4 linked regions of the Saccharomyces cerevisiae S288C genome follow. The protein of the gene in region 1 purifies or fractionates together with the protein of each later gene. This does not show direct contact. Each region holds a gene or a part of one and is shown on either strand. Other genes may lie near its edges.

The links.
Region 2: the proteins of NAM7 (region 1) and RBS1 purify together in Saccharomyces cerevisiae (affinity purification with mass spectrometry; 3 studies listed by BioGRID, with this or other methods). This does not show direct contact.
Region 3: the proteins of NAM7 (region 1) and LSM12 purify together in Saccharomyces cerevisiae (affinity purification with mass spectrometry, with the first as the bait; one study listed by BioGRID). This does not show direct contact.
Region 4: the proteins of NAM7 (region 1) and PUF3 purify together in Saccharomyces cerevisiae (affinity purification with mass spectrometry; 2 studies listed by BioGRID). This does not show direct contact.

The regions. Positions count from the first base shown.
Region 1 is NC_001145.3:426,212-431,396, reverse strand, and holds NAM7 (ATP-dependent RNA helicase NAM7), read left to right. Parts: upstream 1-1,769; coding exon 1,770-4,685; downstream 4,686-5,185. Other genes in the region: ISF1 (Isf1p), read left to right, coding at 302-1,318. UniProt on the Saccharomyces cerevisiae protein: RNA-dependent helicase required for nonsense-mediated decay (NMD) of aberrant mRNAs containing premature stop codons and modulates the expression level of normal mRNAs. Also capable of unwinding double-stranded DNA and translocating on single-stranded DNA.
Region 2 is NC_001136.10:120,041-124,570, reverse strand, and holds RBS1 (Rbs1p), read right to left. Parts: upstream 2,356-4,530; coding exon 982-2,355; downstream 1-981. Other genes in the region: phosphoprotein phosphatase 2A catalytic subunit PPH22, read left to right, coding at 1-706; ubiquitin-ubiquitin ligase UFD2, read left to right, coding at 2,979-4,530.
Region 3 is NC_001140.6:350,824-353,819, forward strand, and holds LSM12 (Lsm12p), read left to right. Parts: upstream 1-1,932; coding exon 1,933-2,496; downstream 2,497-2,996. Other genes in the region: mismatch repair ATPase MSH1, read left to right, coding at 1-1,630; iron-sulfur cluster assembly protein CIA2, read left to right, coding at 2,802-2,996.
Region 4 is NC_001144.5:121,575-127,233, forward strand, and holds PUF3 (mRNA-binding protein PUF3), read right to left. Parts: upstream 3,141-5,659; coding exon 501-3,140; downstream 1-500. Other genes in the region: EMC6 (Emc6p), read left to right, coding at 1-74; YEH1 (sterol esterase), read left to right, coding at 3,960-5,659. UniProt on the Saccharomyces cerevisiae protein: RNA-binding protein involved in post-transcriptional regulation. Negatively regulates expression of COX17 by binding to the 3'-UTR of COX17 mRNA. Promotes decay of COX17 mRNA by enhancing its rate of deadenylation and subsequent turnover.

The sequences.
Region 1 (5,185 bases):
TTATAAATACAATTACACTTTTACCGATTTCTTGATGTTTAAGAACTCTTGTTTTTTCTGTAAGCAAACATCTGAAAATCTCACATCTCTTTCTATCTTACTTTTATTCAAGTCTACTTAAATTTGTCTTTTTTTCTTTTCTTCTTTCTCTACCAATTATAATAAGTGTATGAGCTACAACCACTTAGATTAAAGGTAATACACATAAATAGAAAGGTTTGCGTAAAATATTTCAGTTTGAATAATTATCTCCTCAGTGGAATAAAAAACATCAAAGAATAGAAATAGTCGCTGTATTTTGATGATTGCTTCAGAAATTTTTGAAAGAGGTGTACAAGATCCATTTTGTCAAGATTGTGATTATGAAGATGAAACAGACGTACAAAGTTTTTTAGGTTCAAATGATTTGAATGATTTTGTAAATTCCAAATTAGCGTCCTTTAGTTTTCAAAATTCCTCGAAATCAAATAATTCTCACCACAGCAGCAGTACCAATGCCGGTAATACAAGCAGACACATAGGCAATCATACTATTGGCCACCATTTGAGAAAAATCAAGACAGCTCCGCATCACTTGTATGGCTTCGTCCCAGCAAATTCAACGAACAATTCCAATGAACCAATTCGCCCTTCTCCAAGAAGAATAAGAGCAAATAGTAGCACCCTCATTCACCAGTTGTCCAGACAATCCACAAGACAGTCTTCCTTGGGCGACGCGGCGGATTCCTGTTTTGACCACAAATGCATAAAGCCAAGATCCAGGCATTCTTCCTGTTACGGTATACCAACACATCTATACGGCCTTGAAAAATACGTTTCATCCGAGCTAGACTCTCTAGCAGTAGCTAACGACCAGTCAAATGATCTCACTTCCCCATTAACATCTGTTTCAACACCCGCCTCGAATTCCAACTCGTATTTGAATCTGAATTCAAGTTCGGCTGCATATCCGTCGTCTTATCTCTCCAACGAAAAGAATAATCGACTAAAATTGATTTCCCATGGGAAAATATCATCAAATAACGTCCCAGGTCACAGTGGAAACCTTAACCACTATCACAGAGAACGAACGCCATCAAATCTAAGAAGAGAATCCTTTTCGCTTCTTTCCAATGGTTCCTCTTCCTCTCCCTTGCAGACTAGAAACAACTCGTATTCCAACTCTTTGGTGAAATCTCCTTCCAATAGTTCATTGAATACTAGTGTGGCTTCTTCTAACGAAGAATCTAGTCCTCACACTTCTAATTGCCTGGAGGAAAGGAATCCCAGGAGAAAATCATTCATAAAATTGTCACTAGCGAGTTCATTCTCCAATTGAAAACGAAACATATGCATCTGGCGAACTCCGTAATTCGCCTAACTTTTAATGAATTCATGAACGGGAAATAAGAAAAACAAAAAGAAAATATACATAGTTAGTTACTATCCACTCAATAATATTAAACGAGTGAATGCTTTTACTTTTAACTTTAGTTTAATCTTAATTTACATTATTTTAGTATCATCAGTTTCCCTTTGCTTACTTGATTTGGGAGGGACACCTTTATACGCTTTCGTACTAACTGATCAAATGAAAAGCTTACCAGAAACTTACGATGCTATTGTGAAGGAGAAAAAAAAAGCGAAAAGAGGCATCGTTTTAACGCACACTAACAGAAGACTCTATTTCTCTTGTCAGCCAACAAACGTTGAAGATTTCATCAGGAAAGAAGGAAGGGCAGCAAGACCGAATATACTTTTTATATTACATCAATCATTGTCATTATCAAATGGTCGGTTCCGGTTCTCACACTCCTTATGATATATCAAACTCTCCATCTGATGTAAATGTCCAACCCGCAACACAACTAAATTCCACCTTGGTGGAGGATGACGATGTAGATAATCAGCTATTTGAAGAGGCTCAAGTCACTGAGACTGGATTCCGTTCGCCTTCAGCTTCAGACAATTCATGTGCGTATTGTGGTATAGATTCTGCAAAGTGTGTCATCAAATGTAATTCATGTAAGAAATGGTTTTGTAACACTAAAAACGGTACAAGCAGCTCCCACATTGTTAATCACTTAGTTTTATCCCACCATAACGTAGTTTCTTTACATCCAGATTCTGACTTAGGGGATACCGTTTTGGAATGTTATAACTGTGGACGTAAGAACGTGTTTTTATTGGGATTTGTTTCCGCTAAAAGTGAGGCCGTGGTTGTTTTACTTTGTAGAATACCTTGTGCCCAGACGAAAAATGCGAACTGGGATACTGATCAATGGCAACCATTAATTGAAGACAGACAACTTTTATCATGGGTCGCAGAGCAACCAACTGAAGAAGAAAAATTGAAAGCTCGTTTAATCACTCCTAGCCAAATTTCCAAGTTGGAGGCAAAATGGAGATCCAATAAAGACGCTACAATTAATGATATTGACGCCCCAGAGGAACAGGAAGCAATCCCACCTTTACTATTGAGATATCAAGACGCCTACGAATACCAAAGATCTTACGGGCCTTTAATCAAATTGGAGGCCGACTATGATAAACAACTCAAGGAATCTCAAGCTTTAGAACATATTTCTGTTTCATGGTCCTTAGCTTTAAATAATAGGCATTTAGCATCTTTCACTTTATCTACTTTCGAATCTAACGAGTTGAAAGTTGCCATCGGTGATGAAATGATACTATGGTACTCTGGCATGCAACATCCTGATTGGGAAGGTCGTGGTTACATTGTTCGGTTACCAAATAGCTTCCAGGACACATTCACATTAGAGTTAAAACCAAGTAAAACGCCACCTCCAACACATTTGACCACTGGTTTTACTGCTGAGTTCATCTGGAAAGGTACCTCTTATGACAGGATGCAAGACGCATTGAAAAAATTTGCCATTGATAAAAAATCTATTTCAGGTTATTTGTACTATAAAATTTTAGGCCATCAAGTGGTTGACATTTCATTTGATGTCCCATTACCTAAGGAGTTTTCAATTCCGAATTTTGCACAATTAAACTCATCCCAGTCGAACGCTGTTAGTCATGTATTACAACGTCCGTTATCTTTAATTCAAGGCCCACCAGGCACTGGTAAAACAGTTACTTCAGCAACGATTGTGTATCACCTTTCCAAAATACACAAGGATAGAATATTGGTGTGTGCCCCATCAAACGTTGCTGTAGATCATTTGGCTGCCAAATTACGTGACTTGGGTTTAAAAGTTGTTAGACTTACCGCGAAAAGTAGAGAAGATGTGGAGAGTTCCGTCTCCAACTTAGCATTGCATAATTTGGTTGGCCGTGGTGCTAAAGGGGAATTAAAAAACCTATTAAAGTTAAAGGATGAAGTTGGCGAATTATCTGCTTCTGATACAAAACGGTTTGTTAAATTAGTAAGGAAAACAGAAGCAGAAATTCTCAATAAGGCAGATGTCGTATGTTGCACATGTGTTGGTGCTGGTGATAAGCGCTTAGACACTAAATTTAGGACTGTGTTAATTGATGAAAGTACTCAAGCTTCTGAGCCGGAATGTTTAATCCCAATCGTTAAAGGTGCGAAACAAGTTATACTTGTTGGTGATCACCAGCAACTGGGCCCAGTCATATTGGAACGAAAGGCGGCAGACGCTGGTTTGAAACAATCTCTCTTTGAAAGATTAATCTCTCTAGGCCACGTACCGATTCGTTTGGAAGTTCAATACCGTATGAATCCTTATTTGAGTGAGTTTCCAAGTAACATGTTTTATGAAGGCAGCCTACAAAATGGTGTAACGATTGAACAGCGTACCGTTCCCAACAGCAAATTCCCATGGCCAATTCGCGGTATACCAATGATGTTTTGGGCCAATTACGGTAGAGAGGAGATTTCTGCTAACGGTACTTCCTTCTTAAACAGAATTGAAGCCATGAATTGTGAACGAATCATCACTAAACTTTTCAGAGACGGTGTCAAGCCCGAGCAAATTGGTGTTATCACACCATATGAGGGACAAAGAGCTTATATTTTACAATATATGCAAATGAATGGTTCATTGGATAAGGATTTGTATATCAAAGTGGAAGTTGCCTCAGTTGATGCATTCCAAGGTCGTGAAAAGGATTACATAATCTTATCGTGTGTTCGTGCCAATGAACAACAGGCCATTGGTTTCTTACGTGATCCTCGTCGTCTAAACGTGGGTCTAACCCGTGCCAAATATGGTCTAGTTATTCTTGGTAATCCTAGATCTTTGGCAAGAAACACATTATGGAACCATCTGTTAATCCACTTCAGAGAGAAGGGTTGTTTAGTCGAAGGTACGTTGGATAACTTACAGTTATGCACTGTTCAATTAGTTCGTCCTCAGCCAAGAAAGACTGAACGGCCAATGAACGCTCAATTTAACGTAGAATCTGAAATGGGTGACTTTCCGAAGTTCCAGGATTTTGATGCACAGAGTATGGTGTCATTCAGTGGTCAAATTGGGGACTTTGGTAATGCATTTGTTGACAACACAGAACTTTCTTCTTACATCAATAATGAATATTGGAATTTTGAGAATTTTAAAAGTGCTTTTTCTCAAAAGCAAAATCGCAATGAAATTGACGATAGAAATTTGTACCAGGAGGAGGCTTCTCATTTGAACTCTAACTTCGCGAGAGAGTTACAGAGAGAAGAACAAAAGCATGAATTGTCAAAAGACTTCAGCAATTTGGGAATATAATTCGGTGAACCCTGTTAAAATAAAATGTTAAACTTGGCTTGTGATACAAAACGGCTCAACCGTGAAATGAGCGCTGCAAAATTATTCGAGATAGACTCGCAATTTGCACAATTGTAACCTGAAAAACTTTTTTTACTTTTCCGGAGGTGCATCTATCATTACAGTATGTGATAAAGGGGCATGGACTTGATATCCTAGCCTACTAATCTCTTTGCTAAAACATGTTGCAACCAAATAGGGCTACCATTGTACTTCTAATGAATACTCTTTACGGCGCACTGCAATGCGTAATAAAGTTTTATTGTAGCGAGGTTTCATTTTTGCTTATGTTCTTTTTATTGTTTAATACGTGCATATGTATTCTATAAGATAAATGTATATAACTGCCAACAAAATAAACTAAAATCAAGGTATGGCTGTAGAAAATGATACCACAGATAATAAAATAATAAATAATCTAATAGCTGAGTGGAAGAAAAAAAAAAAATAAAAAAAGAGTA
Region 2 (4,530 bases), on another chromosome or scaffold:
TCCTGACACCAATTACCTTTTCATGGGTGATTACGTGGATAGAGGATATTATTCTGTTGAGACCGTATCTTACCTAGTTGCCATGAAAGTCAGATATCCACATAGAATTACTATACTTAGGGGCAATCACGAGTCTAGGCAGATTACCCAAGTATATGGGTTTTATGACGAATGTTTGAGAAAGTACGGCAGTGCGAACGTGTGGAAAATGTTTACCGATCTATTCGATTATTTCCCCGTTACTGCCTTGGTGGATAATAAAATCTTCTGTTTGCATGGAGGTCTCTCACCCATGATAGAGACAATAGATCAAGTTAGAGATTTAAATAGAATACAGGAAGTGCCTCACGAAGGTCCAATGTGTGACCTTCTATGGTCCGATCCTGATGATAGAGGCGGATGGGGAATCAGTCCGAGAGGTGCAGGCTTCACTTTTGGTCAAGACATCAGTGAGCAATTCAATCACACTAATGACCTATCACTAATAGCAAGAGCTCACCAATTGGTAATGGAAGGATATTCTTGGTCTCACCAGCAAAATGTTGTCACCATTTTCAGTGCTCCAAATTATTGTTATAGATGTGGTAACCAGGCCGCTATTATGGAGGTGGATGAAAACCATAATAGGCAATTCTTACAATACGATCCATCTGTGAGACCCGGTGAACCAACCGTCACCAGGAAGACACCGGATTATTTCTTATAATATATATCTATTACACCTTTATCCTTACTACGCTATTTCATTCCAACATACATTTATTTTTTTTTTTTTTTTAATATATATTTAGTTACTTTTTCCCTCTAATTTTTGATAATAACAACTTATATACAAACATACAAACTATTTTTTCGTTTTCAAATACTTATTTTTTCGAACACAAAGTGAAAACAACTTTTTCTCATATATTACTGTTCTCATACTAGAATTTCTATAAACCGTTACGTAATTTTTTCGCTATGTATAGTTCACTCCTCACGCTAAATGTTTAATTTATCAAATTTCATCTCTACCGAATCAGTATCCCTAGATGACGGCGAACCCTCAACACTAGCCCTACGAATTCCCTCATTCTTATTACTGTTACTGTCATCACTACGTTTCGGAATCGCACCAGAATATGAATTTTTTCCTTGAAAATGGTGGTACTTATTTGCTGAGGATCTTGTGTAATTGTTAGAATTATAGCTTGGTGTATTGCTATATGGCCCGCTGTGATACTGAGTGTTATATTGGTATTGATATTGATATTGGTATGGGGGATACATAGGGATTGGGGTGCCAAACGAACAGGACCCTTGGGGATTCATATTGTACATGTAAGGGTTCATGAAGACTGTGTTATTGCCCATTACCATGGGTGAAGGTGCAGGACCGGGGGCAGGACCAGCGGGGTTATACATTAGAGGGTAGGTTGGCAGACTATTGCCACCCATTTGGGGAGGAGGATACACAAGATATGGCGAAGAATATCCCGATTGGTAACCGCCGTTTTCTTTATTCCGACGACTTTGGCCTCTATAGGCATCTTTGTAATTGTTTGTTCCTCTTCTTCTTCCTCCTCTTCCTCTTCGACTATCATAAAATTGTTGTTGAGGTTTGTTTACTTGTATCGTCGTCACAGATGAATTGAATGGTGATGAAGAGCTAACTGAACCGTTACTAGTTTGTGTGTTAGAGTCATCTCCGTTCAACCAATCACTCCATTCATTGTCACTATCACTACTACCGCTACTGTTGGTTGACTTTACATCGTCTTCACTCTTGTTGAGCTTATCAAAAATTTCTTGTTTACGTTGTTCATAAAGTCTTTCCTTCTCAATTCTTTCTTGTTCCAAATCAGTACTAGATTTATCATCGATTTCGATTTTTTGGTCCTTATTTGAATTGGCTGTCAAATTGCTATTTGGTGTACGTGTATTGCCATCGATTTTATAATCGCACTCGTTACCTACCTCTTTCCGCTTTAAGATTCGAAATATTCTGTTATTGTTCGATTTTTCAATACTCTCACTTGAGGAAGCACACTCTTCCGGTTTTTTGTTCAGCTGCAACTCTTGTAAGAGTGGCTTTCCTTCAATCTTTTGGAAATTCTCACCTTTGAAAAGAATCACACAACTATCTTGAGTTCTTGCCAAAACATGGTTCAAGTTGTGGTACTCAGCTATTTGGTGCGATAGAAGCCTATAATATGAATTCATCGGTCTTAGCTGAAATGATTCTGTGTTTGAGTTTATGAATGACACTATGGAATTTTCCAGCTCTATTATAAAGATACGGTCCTGTGGTTTCTGGAACAAGCCCGTTTCCATAGCGGGTGTCAATCCCCAGTTTCGAGAATCTAGTGCTGTCATCACCTACTTCTGCCCTAACTCCTTATATACTTGAAGAGACTTGAATATCTTAGTTGTTAGTACGATACGAAATAACTAAAAAATTAATTAAAATAAAATAAATCGTGCGCCCATTATAAGATGCACGTTTCAACATACTGTCACCACGGCTTGCTGGTACAATATGGCTCAATTGCCTACGCCAAAACTTGTCGAGTTGTATGTGAAAGAAAGAAGAAACAGATAGGCTAACCCGCATATGACACTAGCCAACGCTTCTTAATCGATATTCTTATTATATCAATATTATTTTGCGCTTAACGATTCATCCTTTCGTCGAGGACGCTATTTTGTCAGTATTCGTCAGAGGCGATAGTCTGTCTTTATTACAAAAGGTGAATTGAAGATCAAAGGTAGATTCTAACCATTGGCAACAAAATAATAGAGGTGTACGCCGCAATCATTGTTAATCATTAAGTAATTGCCATTTTATTCACATTTTTAGACTCAACCACTTGCTGTTGCCACAGTAAACGTTAATTATATCTTTGAGAATTGTGTCAGCCAATAGAAAGGTAAAGTTGACCACAAGTTGTTTAAGGGGAAAAGTTAACTTTGAAAGTAGAACCCTCATTCCATAGATCATGACCGCCATAGAAGATATTTTACAAATCACCACCGATCCTTCCGATACCCGTGGCTACTCTCTATTGAAGTCCGAGGAAGTGCCTCAAGGCTCAACTCTTGGAGTTGATTTTATTGATACGCTACTATTATATCAACTCACCGAGAATGAGAAGTTGGATAAACCGTTTGAATATTTGAACGATTGCTTTCGCCGTAATCAGCAACAAAAAAGAATCACCAAAAACAAGCCAAATGCTGAGTCATTACATTCCACTTTCCAAGAGATTGATCGTCTTGTCATTGGCTATGGTGTCGTTGCCTTACAAATAGAAAACTTTTGCATGAATGGTGCTTTCATCAATTATATCACTGGAATTGTTTCTAACGTTAACTCATATACTGATTTCCTTTCCCAAATCATTCAAAGAGCCATATTAGAAGGTACCGCTTTGGATTTACTTAACGCTGTTTTCCCGACATTATTAGAATACTGTAATAAACATGTCAGCCATTTTGATTTGAACGAATCTGTAATTTACAATAACGTTCTTACCATTTTTGAGTTATTTGTTACATTTAAACCTATTGCAGAAATATTCACTAAAATAGATGGTTTTTTTGCAGACTATAGCTGTAAACCACAGGATTTTGAAAGGAAAACGATATTGGGGCCTATTTTATCTCTTTCTCCCATAGAAGCTGCTGTGGCAATCCGGAACTACGGCGATAACCTTTTGCGTTCCAAACAACAGACAGCCATGATCCATGAATCTCTACAAGCTGAGCATAAAGTTGTCATAGATAGACTCTTTTTTATTGTCGATAAGCTTGTTCGTGGCTCCTTAAACTCAAGGACTGATATGATTAGTTATTTTGCCCATATCGCTAATAAAAACCATTTACGTAGAGCCGATCATCCACCATTCAAAGAACTATCCTCTAACGGATTTATGTCCAATATCACTTTGTTATTGGTTAGATTTTCTCAACCATTTCTAGATATTTCATATAAGAAAATCGACAAGATCGACGCAAATTACTTCAACAACCCAAGTTTATTTATTGATTTATCAGGGGAAACACGATTAAATTCTGATTTTAAAGAGGCAGATGCATTTTATGACAAGAACAGAAAAACAGCAGATTCTAAGCCAAACTTCATCTCTGATTGCTTTTTCTTGACATTAACCTATTTGCATTATGGTCTGGGAGGTACATTATCATTTGAAGAGAAGATGGGATCTGAAATCAAAGCGTTAAAGGAAGAAATTGAAAAAGTAAAGAAAATAGCTGCGAACCACGATGTCTTTGCCAGATTCATTACAGCACAATTATCCAAGATGGAGAAGGCGTTGAAAACAACAGAATCTTTGCGATTTGCTCTTCAAGGGTTCTTCGCTCATAGATCTCTTCAACTAGAGGTTTTCGACTTTATTTGTGGTGCATCTACGTTCTTGATTCGTGTTGTGGATCCTGAACACGAATTTCCGTTTAAACAAATTAAATTGCCATTAATTCCGGACCAAATAGGTGTTGAAAACGTGGACAACGCTGATTTTTTGAGAGCGC
Region 3 (2,996 bases), on another chromosome or scaffold:
AATTAAAAAGCGTCAGAAAATTGTAGCATTTTTCAAAGACAACCGTGATATCACTGAAACACTACGGACTATGTTGAAAAAAGTAAATGATCTATCCCGTATACTTCAAAAGTTTAGTTTCGGAAGGGGCGAGGCATTAGAACTTATTCAAATGGCACGTTCACTAGAGGTTTCAAGAGAAATAAGAAAATATTTACTAAATAACACGTCGTTGATGAAAGCTACATTAAAGAGTCAAATCACACAGCTGACTGAGTCTTTAAATTTTGAAAAAAATTTGATTGATGATATTTTGAAGTTTTTAAATGAGGAAGAGCTAGCAAAGTCACAAGATGCTAAACAGAATGCAGATGTAACTAGAATGCTTGACATAGATGTAAAAGACAAGAAAGAAAGTAACAAAGATGAGATTTTTGAATTAAGAGATTTTATCGTAAACCCTTCGTTCAATACCAAACTTAGGAAATTGCATGACACTTATCAGGGCGTTTGGCAAAAAAAAACTGAGTACAATGCTTTATTAAAAGGTTTTTTTGTTGGCGACCTAGGTGCTAAGACTTTCACCTTGAAGGAAAGGCAAAACGGTGAGTATGCCCTCCATGTGACAGGAACAGCCTCTAGTTTAAAGAAAATTGATGAGTTAATTAGTAAATCGACGGAGTACCACGGAAGTTGCTTCCATATTTTGCAAAAATCAAGCCAAACACGATGGTTGAGTCACAAAATTTGGACAGACTTGGGGCACGAGTTGGAATTATTAAATTTAAAGATTAGGAATGAAGAGGCTAATATTATTGATCTTTTTAAAAGGAAATTTATTGATAGAAGTAACGAGGTCAGACAAGTTGCAACTACACTGGGCTATCTTGATACCTTATCGTCCTTTGCTGTGTTAGCTAACGAGAGAAATTTAGTCTGCCCAAAAGTGGATGAGAGCAATAAACTAGAAGTAGTGAATGGGAGACATCTAATGGTTGAAGAGGGTCTTTCCGCGCGCTCTTTGGAGACATTCACGGCCAATAACTGCGAATTGGCGAAGGACAATTTATGGGTAATTACCGGACCGAATATGGGTGGTAAATCTACATTCTTAAGACAGAATGCAATTATAGTCATTCTGGCGCAAATTGGATGTTTTGTTCCATGCAGTAAGGCGCGTGTGGGTATTGTAGATAAGCTTTTTAGCCGAGTTGGTTCAGCAGATGATCTGTACAATGAGATGAGTACGTTCATGGTTGAGATGATAGAAACATCGTTCATCTTGCAAGGAGCTACGGAACGGTCTTTAGCTATTCTAGATGAGATTGGCCGTGGGACTAGTGGTAAAGAAGGCATTAGCATCGCTTATGCAACTTTAAAGTATTTGTTAGAGAACAATCAATGCAGAACGCTTTTTGCTACACATTTTGGTCAAGAACTGAAGCAAATCATTGATAACAAATGTTCGAAAGGAATGAGCGAAAAGGTCAAGTTTTACCAAAGCGGAATCACTGATTTAGGTGGAAACAATTTTTGTTACAACCATAAGTTGAAGCCGGGCATCTGCACGAAATCAGATGCCATTAGAGTTGCGGAATTGGCCGGATTTCCAATGGAAGCGTTAAAAGAAGCCCGCGAAATATTGGGATAACTTTTGAATACAACTATTAATTGTATATAATTTGACATGTAATATAATAAGATGTGGAATCAATTTCCCTGTCTTTTTTTTCAAAAGCGACTGTGAAGATACTTAGAAAATGGCAAAAACGGTAGTTTGCAAATTTCCGTAGTTTGTCGCGCGAATGATATTAGCGGAAACAAAACGATCAAACCTTATACCATGAATATAATGGTGGATATTTATTACGGTAAGGAAACACTCTGAGCCAGGCTTGTAAATAGCGGTTATCTAAGCTTGTAACTAAAGAAATCAATTTGCATCTTTCGTCCATGAGTGTCAGCCTTGAGCAAACGCTCGGATTCAGAATAAAAGTTACGAACGTGTTGGATGTAGTTACTGAAGGAAGATTGTATTCGTTCAATTCATCCAACAACACTCTTACTATCCAAACAACAAAGAAGAATCAATCTCCACAAAACTTCAAGGTGATAAAATGTACATTCATCAAGCATTTGGAAGTCATTGGTGATAAGCCCTCGTTTAACTCATTCAAAAAGCAACAAATCAAACCCTCATATGTCAACGTGGAAAGAGTTGAGAAGCTTTTGAAAGAAAGTGTAATAGCATCTAAAAAGAAAGAACTCTTAAGGGGCAAGGGTGTGAGTGCAGAGGGTCAGTTCATTTTCGATCAAATCTTCAAGACCATAGGAGATACTAAGTGGGTGGCTAAAGACATCATTATTCTTGATGACGTTAAGGTGCAACCTCCATACAAGGTCGAAGATATCAAAGTGCTACATGAGGGAAGTAACCAATCCATTACATTAATTCAAAGAATAGTGGAAAGAAGCTGGGAGCAGCTAGAACAAGACGATGGTAGGAAAGGTGGATAGATTAATTAATGACGGAAACGATAATATACGTTATATATTTTATCCGTACTTCTATAATGTCAACTATTGTTTATAAAGAGATCCATTTGAGTCTACAGATTTTTCTATTTATCAAACTATAATATTCCACCACTCTCTTCTCAGTCGCAATGCTTGGGTGTACGGTGTTTGAATAATTGAATTAGATTTAAATGCGAATAAGTGATGACTAACAAGCAAAAAAATCGAGTATTTCAAGATCCAGTCGAATATAAAATCTTGCTACTGCATTATTCTACGATTTCCTGTTATCACTTATAGTACACATGTCTGAGTTTTTGAATGAAAATCCCGACATTTTAGAGGAGAACCAACTTCCCACTAGAAAAGAAGATAGTACCAAGGACCTTTTGTTAGGCGGGTTCAGCAACGAAGCTACGCTGGAAAGGAGAAGCCTTTTGCTGAAAATAGACCATTCTTTAAAGTCTCAGGTATTGCAAGATATAGAGGTCTTAGACAAG
Region 4 (5,659 bases), on another chromosome or scaffold:
TTTTCGAATCGTTTTTTAGAGAGATAACTGGTTTTGTCATGGCATGGACATTTGGATACGCCCTAATCGGATGAACATATAAGAACTACTTCTATAAACGGTTAGAAACAGGCTTGATTTATTATGTACAGTAAATATAATGTTATTTGTGTTTTTTTTTTTTAAATTTTTTTAGTTCCTTCTATGTAAAAAGACATGACAACAGTATTCTCAGTCAAATGATTTCAAATACACAATGTTAAATTCTCTATCTGTTGCAGAAATAAGAAGAGCGTAAGAGCGCAAAGATTTTTGCAGAAAAATAGAGATGAGGTACAAAAAGTAGGTAATGGAAAAAAGCAAATAATGAATATAGGGGAACATAAATGTTATGGACAAGAGTAGATATCAAAATAAAACAAAATAAAATAGAGTAAGTGAAAGACAAATGGAGGAAAAAAAAAAAAAAAAAAAAAAAAAAAAAATAGTAAAAAGTGAAAGGAGAACGATGATAACACTAATCACACCTCCGCATTTTCAACCAATGCTGCAAGTTTCTCAACACTGGCTAAATGTCTATTTCCTAGGGAGTTAGATTTGTTTAGTTTATCCAAATATGCTCTAATGGCAATGACGATCAATTTCTTACCCTCACCCTCAGAGACATTAACTAATTTTTGAATCACATAGTTGGCAAATTGATCCTTGATCATTAAAATCATTGGAGAATCGTCTTCCAGATTCAAAGCATGATTTTTGTCTCTTGGTAAAATCTTAGAAATTATTAAATCCTTCTGATTTTTAGAGCCATAAAGAATAGATTTTTCGACCACGTTGGAGGCAAATTTATGTTTAGAGTATTCGACAACATTATTGGCCACAGTTTCTATGATTTCCTGTTTGATATCGACCATTTCCTTATTGGTGAACTGATCTTGTTGCAAAACATATTGAATGACATAGTTACCATATTGGTCTTGAATTAGATATGGTATGAAATCTTTCAATTCGTTTAAAATGCTTTCCTGATCTTCGCTCGAACCAAATTCTAACAATCTTTGAATGACCCTACAGCCGTAGGAGTGGGTAGATAGATGGTAAATGTGGCCAGTTAAAGAACTTAAGATAAAAGGTAATTTTTCGATAGGAATTGTTTCGATGGCCTTTTGAATTACGTGATTACCGTTCTGATCTTTGATCATTTGCAAAACGGAGTCAGATAATTCCAGGACTAACTCAATTCTTTGATTGGAATCAATATATTCTAACGCCTTTTGAATTACACGACATGCGTACATTTGTAGAGATAACTGTTTCATGTTACCTTTAAATTGATCAACCAAAGTATTTTTTTGAATTTTGCTACCAAATTCAAAAAACTTCTGAATGACGTAATTACCAAATACATCGTTCGAAAGCTCAATGGCGTCATCGCGAATTTCATTGAATATGACCTCCTTTTCTGAGGCTGGTGAGGTGGCCAACTCGCGCTGAATGAACCGTGAACCATGTTGATCTTTGCAAAACTCTAAGGAATGGCCAAAGATGTCTTTTAGTGACATGTTCGAGTTTGAATTTTTGTCAGAACTACTGTTTCTTAGTTGCTCTAACAACGGCGATCGATGATACGTTTGCTGCTGTTGCTGTAGACTTTGAGAATGAGGATGAGAATGAGAGTGAGATTTATGGTTGTTGGCCGTTGACTCATTAGATTTGGAAGAAGCATTCTTTTTAGAGGTATTCTTTGTGGGTATAGAATTTTCTAGATAAGGATTTGCCTGTTTGTTGGCGTTGTTGGAGTTATTTGCAGGATGATTCTTGTTATTTCTTTTCTTGAAGGTTTTTTCGTCCTTGGGCATTTTGACAGGTATAGGATTTGGAGTAGGGTAGTAAATATAAGGATTCTCCTGTTGCTGTTGCTGTTGTTGGTCTTCTTGTTGTTGTTGTTGTTGCTGTTGCTGTTGTTGCTGGGGAGCAGAGAGTGGTGGAGGTGGCATAAACATCATTGGGTTGGGGTAGGCAAACGGGAACGGAGAATTGTTTGGAGGGGACGAAGGTGAAGAAACAGAAGAAGGTCTGTTTGCCTTCTTCTTTTTCTTACCATTTGAGTCTTCGGTGTCTTCATTTGCTGGAATCTGTACTGAAATCATCTGGGAGATGAAATTTGAAGGAGATCCGATCAAGTAGTTGGGGAAGTTTTGGTAATGAGGGCCCTGATGAAACTGATTGGGTGGGAAGCCGTTCATGTAGGGGGGGAAATTGTTATTTGCAGGCCCATCTTGTTGGTTAGGAAGCGCGACATTTGTGGCCCCAACAGCGGCTGGATTGTTACTAGGTCTAAATACTGGTGTGTTGGCTACGTTCCAGATATTTCTCTTGGGGTAATGAGCATTTTCGGACTCTAAAGACGCAGATGAGCCTGAATTTGAACTGGAGTGGTAAAGCGAACCACTGTTAGTAGTGTTCCTATTCAATTTGTTGAAGTTTTTGTCAGACTCGACATTTTGCTCGAAAGTATTCTGTGTGTCTAAGCTGGCGTTAGAGACGCTTTTTGATATGAATTGGGACTGAGTATTGACAGCGTCGGGTCTATCTTGAGATTCCAGTTCCCTTGTACCGTCAATCAAAGATTTTCCGAACTTCTCAAAAAACCCTTCCCCACCAGAGTTGTTGTTGTCATTGCCATTGTAGTAAACGGGACCAGCAATGGAAGCTGAATACTGGCCCAGAAGATGGTTGACCTTGTTGTTTTTCCCGAGATTAGCCGCAGTATGATGAGTATGATAGTTATTGTACGATGCGGATGACAGGGAGGCAGTGTCGGTTGATCTGTACTGGTAATAATTGCCGCCGTTACCAAAAAACTTTTTCGAGTTCGTGGAGAATGGCGGAGCAGTACCAACTGATAGGGCGGTTTTCTTGAAGATCGGTGAAGATTCACTGGAACCGTGAAGCAGCAAGATCTCTGAATCTACTTCATTTGCCGTGGTGAAACTCGACCTTCTGAAGCCGCCAATTTGCTGTGATCCAGCAGCACCGCCGTTCACAATGCCGGCCGCGGCGGCCTGACCGCCGTTGTTGTTACTATGGGACAGGGCGCTTAAAGAAGAAACTATGGATGCGAGTTCCATATCCATATCCATATCCATGTTCATTTCCATTTATACCCGCAATATTGCGTTATTCAGAAGAAATTTAAATGCGTAGTTCTTGTTTGTTTTCTTGTTTGCTTGCGTACTTCTATGCTTATAGATATATCAGTAGCAAGGAAGTTTCCTTTTCACCGCCTTTCAATGTTCCTATCTTTTTCTTATGTTTCTCTTTAGAGACCAGATGACCAGAAAAAAATTAGCTAAGCAGTGTTATACTATTTACAGTAGATATTCAAATATGTGCAGGCACCACTTATTTTTCTTTTTCCTTCTTTTCTTTGTTTTTTTTTTTCTCCTATTCATCAAGCTTCATACATCCAATATACATTCTCAAGTGTGCTAATGGTACATTTGGGAAATTATCTTCCTCTCTCCACAATTTTTAGAAGGAAAAAAGAAATGCAGTTCAGGGTAACAGAGTGCGCAATTACCGTAGATAGCGATCGGATGTTTATCTTTAGCCCTCTTTTTCTAGCTCAAACCCCGGCACGAATTTTTTAGGTCTTGCTGCTCTGCCCTCGGGCACTTTTCTTCGAGAAGTTCTGGGGCGGTCTGATCGGGAAAAAACGTTCCCTTTTCGGACGTATCGCAGGCAATGTGCAAAAGCTTATTATATACGAGAAAAGAAACGCGAAGGAACGAAAGAAGATGAAAAAAATGCAGCGATAAAATGATATTGTGGTTAATCTAAATTTATATATATATATATATATACATATATATATAGAAATCTATTGTTATACACAAAAATACTTATTTTTTAATATAGATGGCTGCAGATAAAGTAATAGTTTTATATATAGGTATATTTACTGCACAATTCACACGATGGGTGTTTCTGCGGTGTTGAAAAGAGCTAGGAATTTACTAGCAACGTTCATAGTCTGCTGTTTTATGGCAGTAGTGCTTGTTCTGGCGCTGGCACACCATTTTATAAATGAGCACAGAGACACTAGGAGTTCATCGACCCAAATCGAAGTTGATGACGAAAGTAAAAGAAACGTACACCATGACCATGTTCTCACTAGAACCAATGCATACGCGACGCCATACCTCGATCTGGAACATGACAAGAAAAACGGTATCGTCTACGATCATACAAGAACGGTTGTCCGTAAAAAGAACCACGAAGTGGGGTCCTCGTCACTGCATAAAAACCTTTTTCACAAATTTTTGACAAAGCTTATTTTTAGGTTTATCGAGAAGGAAAAAGTTACCGAAGGCGTAACGCAAGGAAAGTTCAATAATAGTAGCAATGAAATTGCCAATCATGAACCGGTTTTTGAAAAAATTCCTGTACAGTGCGACAATCCATTACAGAATCTAATCTTATCGGAAGACTTGACATTAGTTGCGGATCTTAATTATTATTTTAACCAGTACAATATTCAAATAGAGGAATTTAGATTGGAGACCGAAGATGGGTTTGTTATAGATTTGTGGCACTTGATACCAAAATATAGAACGACAGATTCTGACAAGAAGAAGAGGCCACCCATTTTGATGCTACATGGCCTTTTGCAAAGCAGTGGTTCGTTCGCATCCAATGGTAGAAAATCTCTGGCATATTTTCTGTATCAATCCGGTTACGACATATGGTTAGGGAATAACAGATGCGGGTTTAGGCCGGAATGGAACGAAGCGAAAGTACCGACACTAGCTTCCAGGTGGGACTGGGACCTTCGCGAGATGGTTAAGTACGATCTGACCCTTTTGATTGATACCGTGTTAGCTAAGACGCAGTTTGAAAAGCTTACTTTGATCTCGCATTCTCAGGGCACTACACAGGGGTTTATGGGCTTGGTCAACGAAGATAAGTTTTTCCCTCCCGGTTCGGGATCTAAAGAATCTTTTTTCACTTCTAAGATCGCAAACTATATTGCCTTGGCCCCCGCAGTGTATCCTGGTCCCTTACTTAACGAGAAATTGTTTGTTAAGCTTATGACAAAGGAAATCGAAAATCCCTGGTTCTTTGGTGAAACGAGCTTTTTTGAGATAATGATGATTGTAAGAAACTTGTGCGTTGGTGAGAGCTTGTTCTCCTTTGTTTGTTACACCATCTTCAATTACCTGTTTGATTGGAACGATACCCTTTGGGATACCGCATTAAGAGATCGCCATTTCCTGTTTTCGCCAGTCCATGTTTCAGTGAAGTTGATGCAATGGTGGCTGTCACCCGACCCCAACAAGGTAAGTTTTAAATTTGGTTCCCATAAGATGTTCCCCGACAATGTTAAGTGGTTTTCAGACGCATCAAAGGCCCCAAATATCTACTTGTTTGTTCCAAAGCAAGATAGATTGGTGGACGGAGAAAGACTAATCAATCATTTCGTCAATGTGGAGTCGAATGTCAACTACAAGATCTGGTACATTGATGAGTATGCCCATATTGATGTCCTATGGGCACATGATGTCATAGAGAGAATTGGTAAACCAATTTTACAGAATTTGAACAACTATTACTCCAAGAAGCCATCCAGCGCCTTTGAAAGTGATTGTTCGGACACAGAGGTGGAAACGGAGCTGGA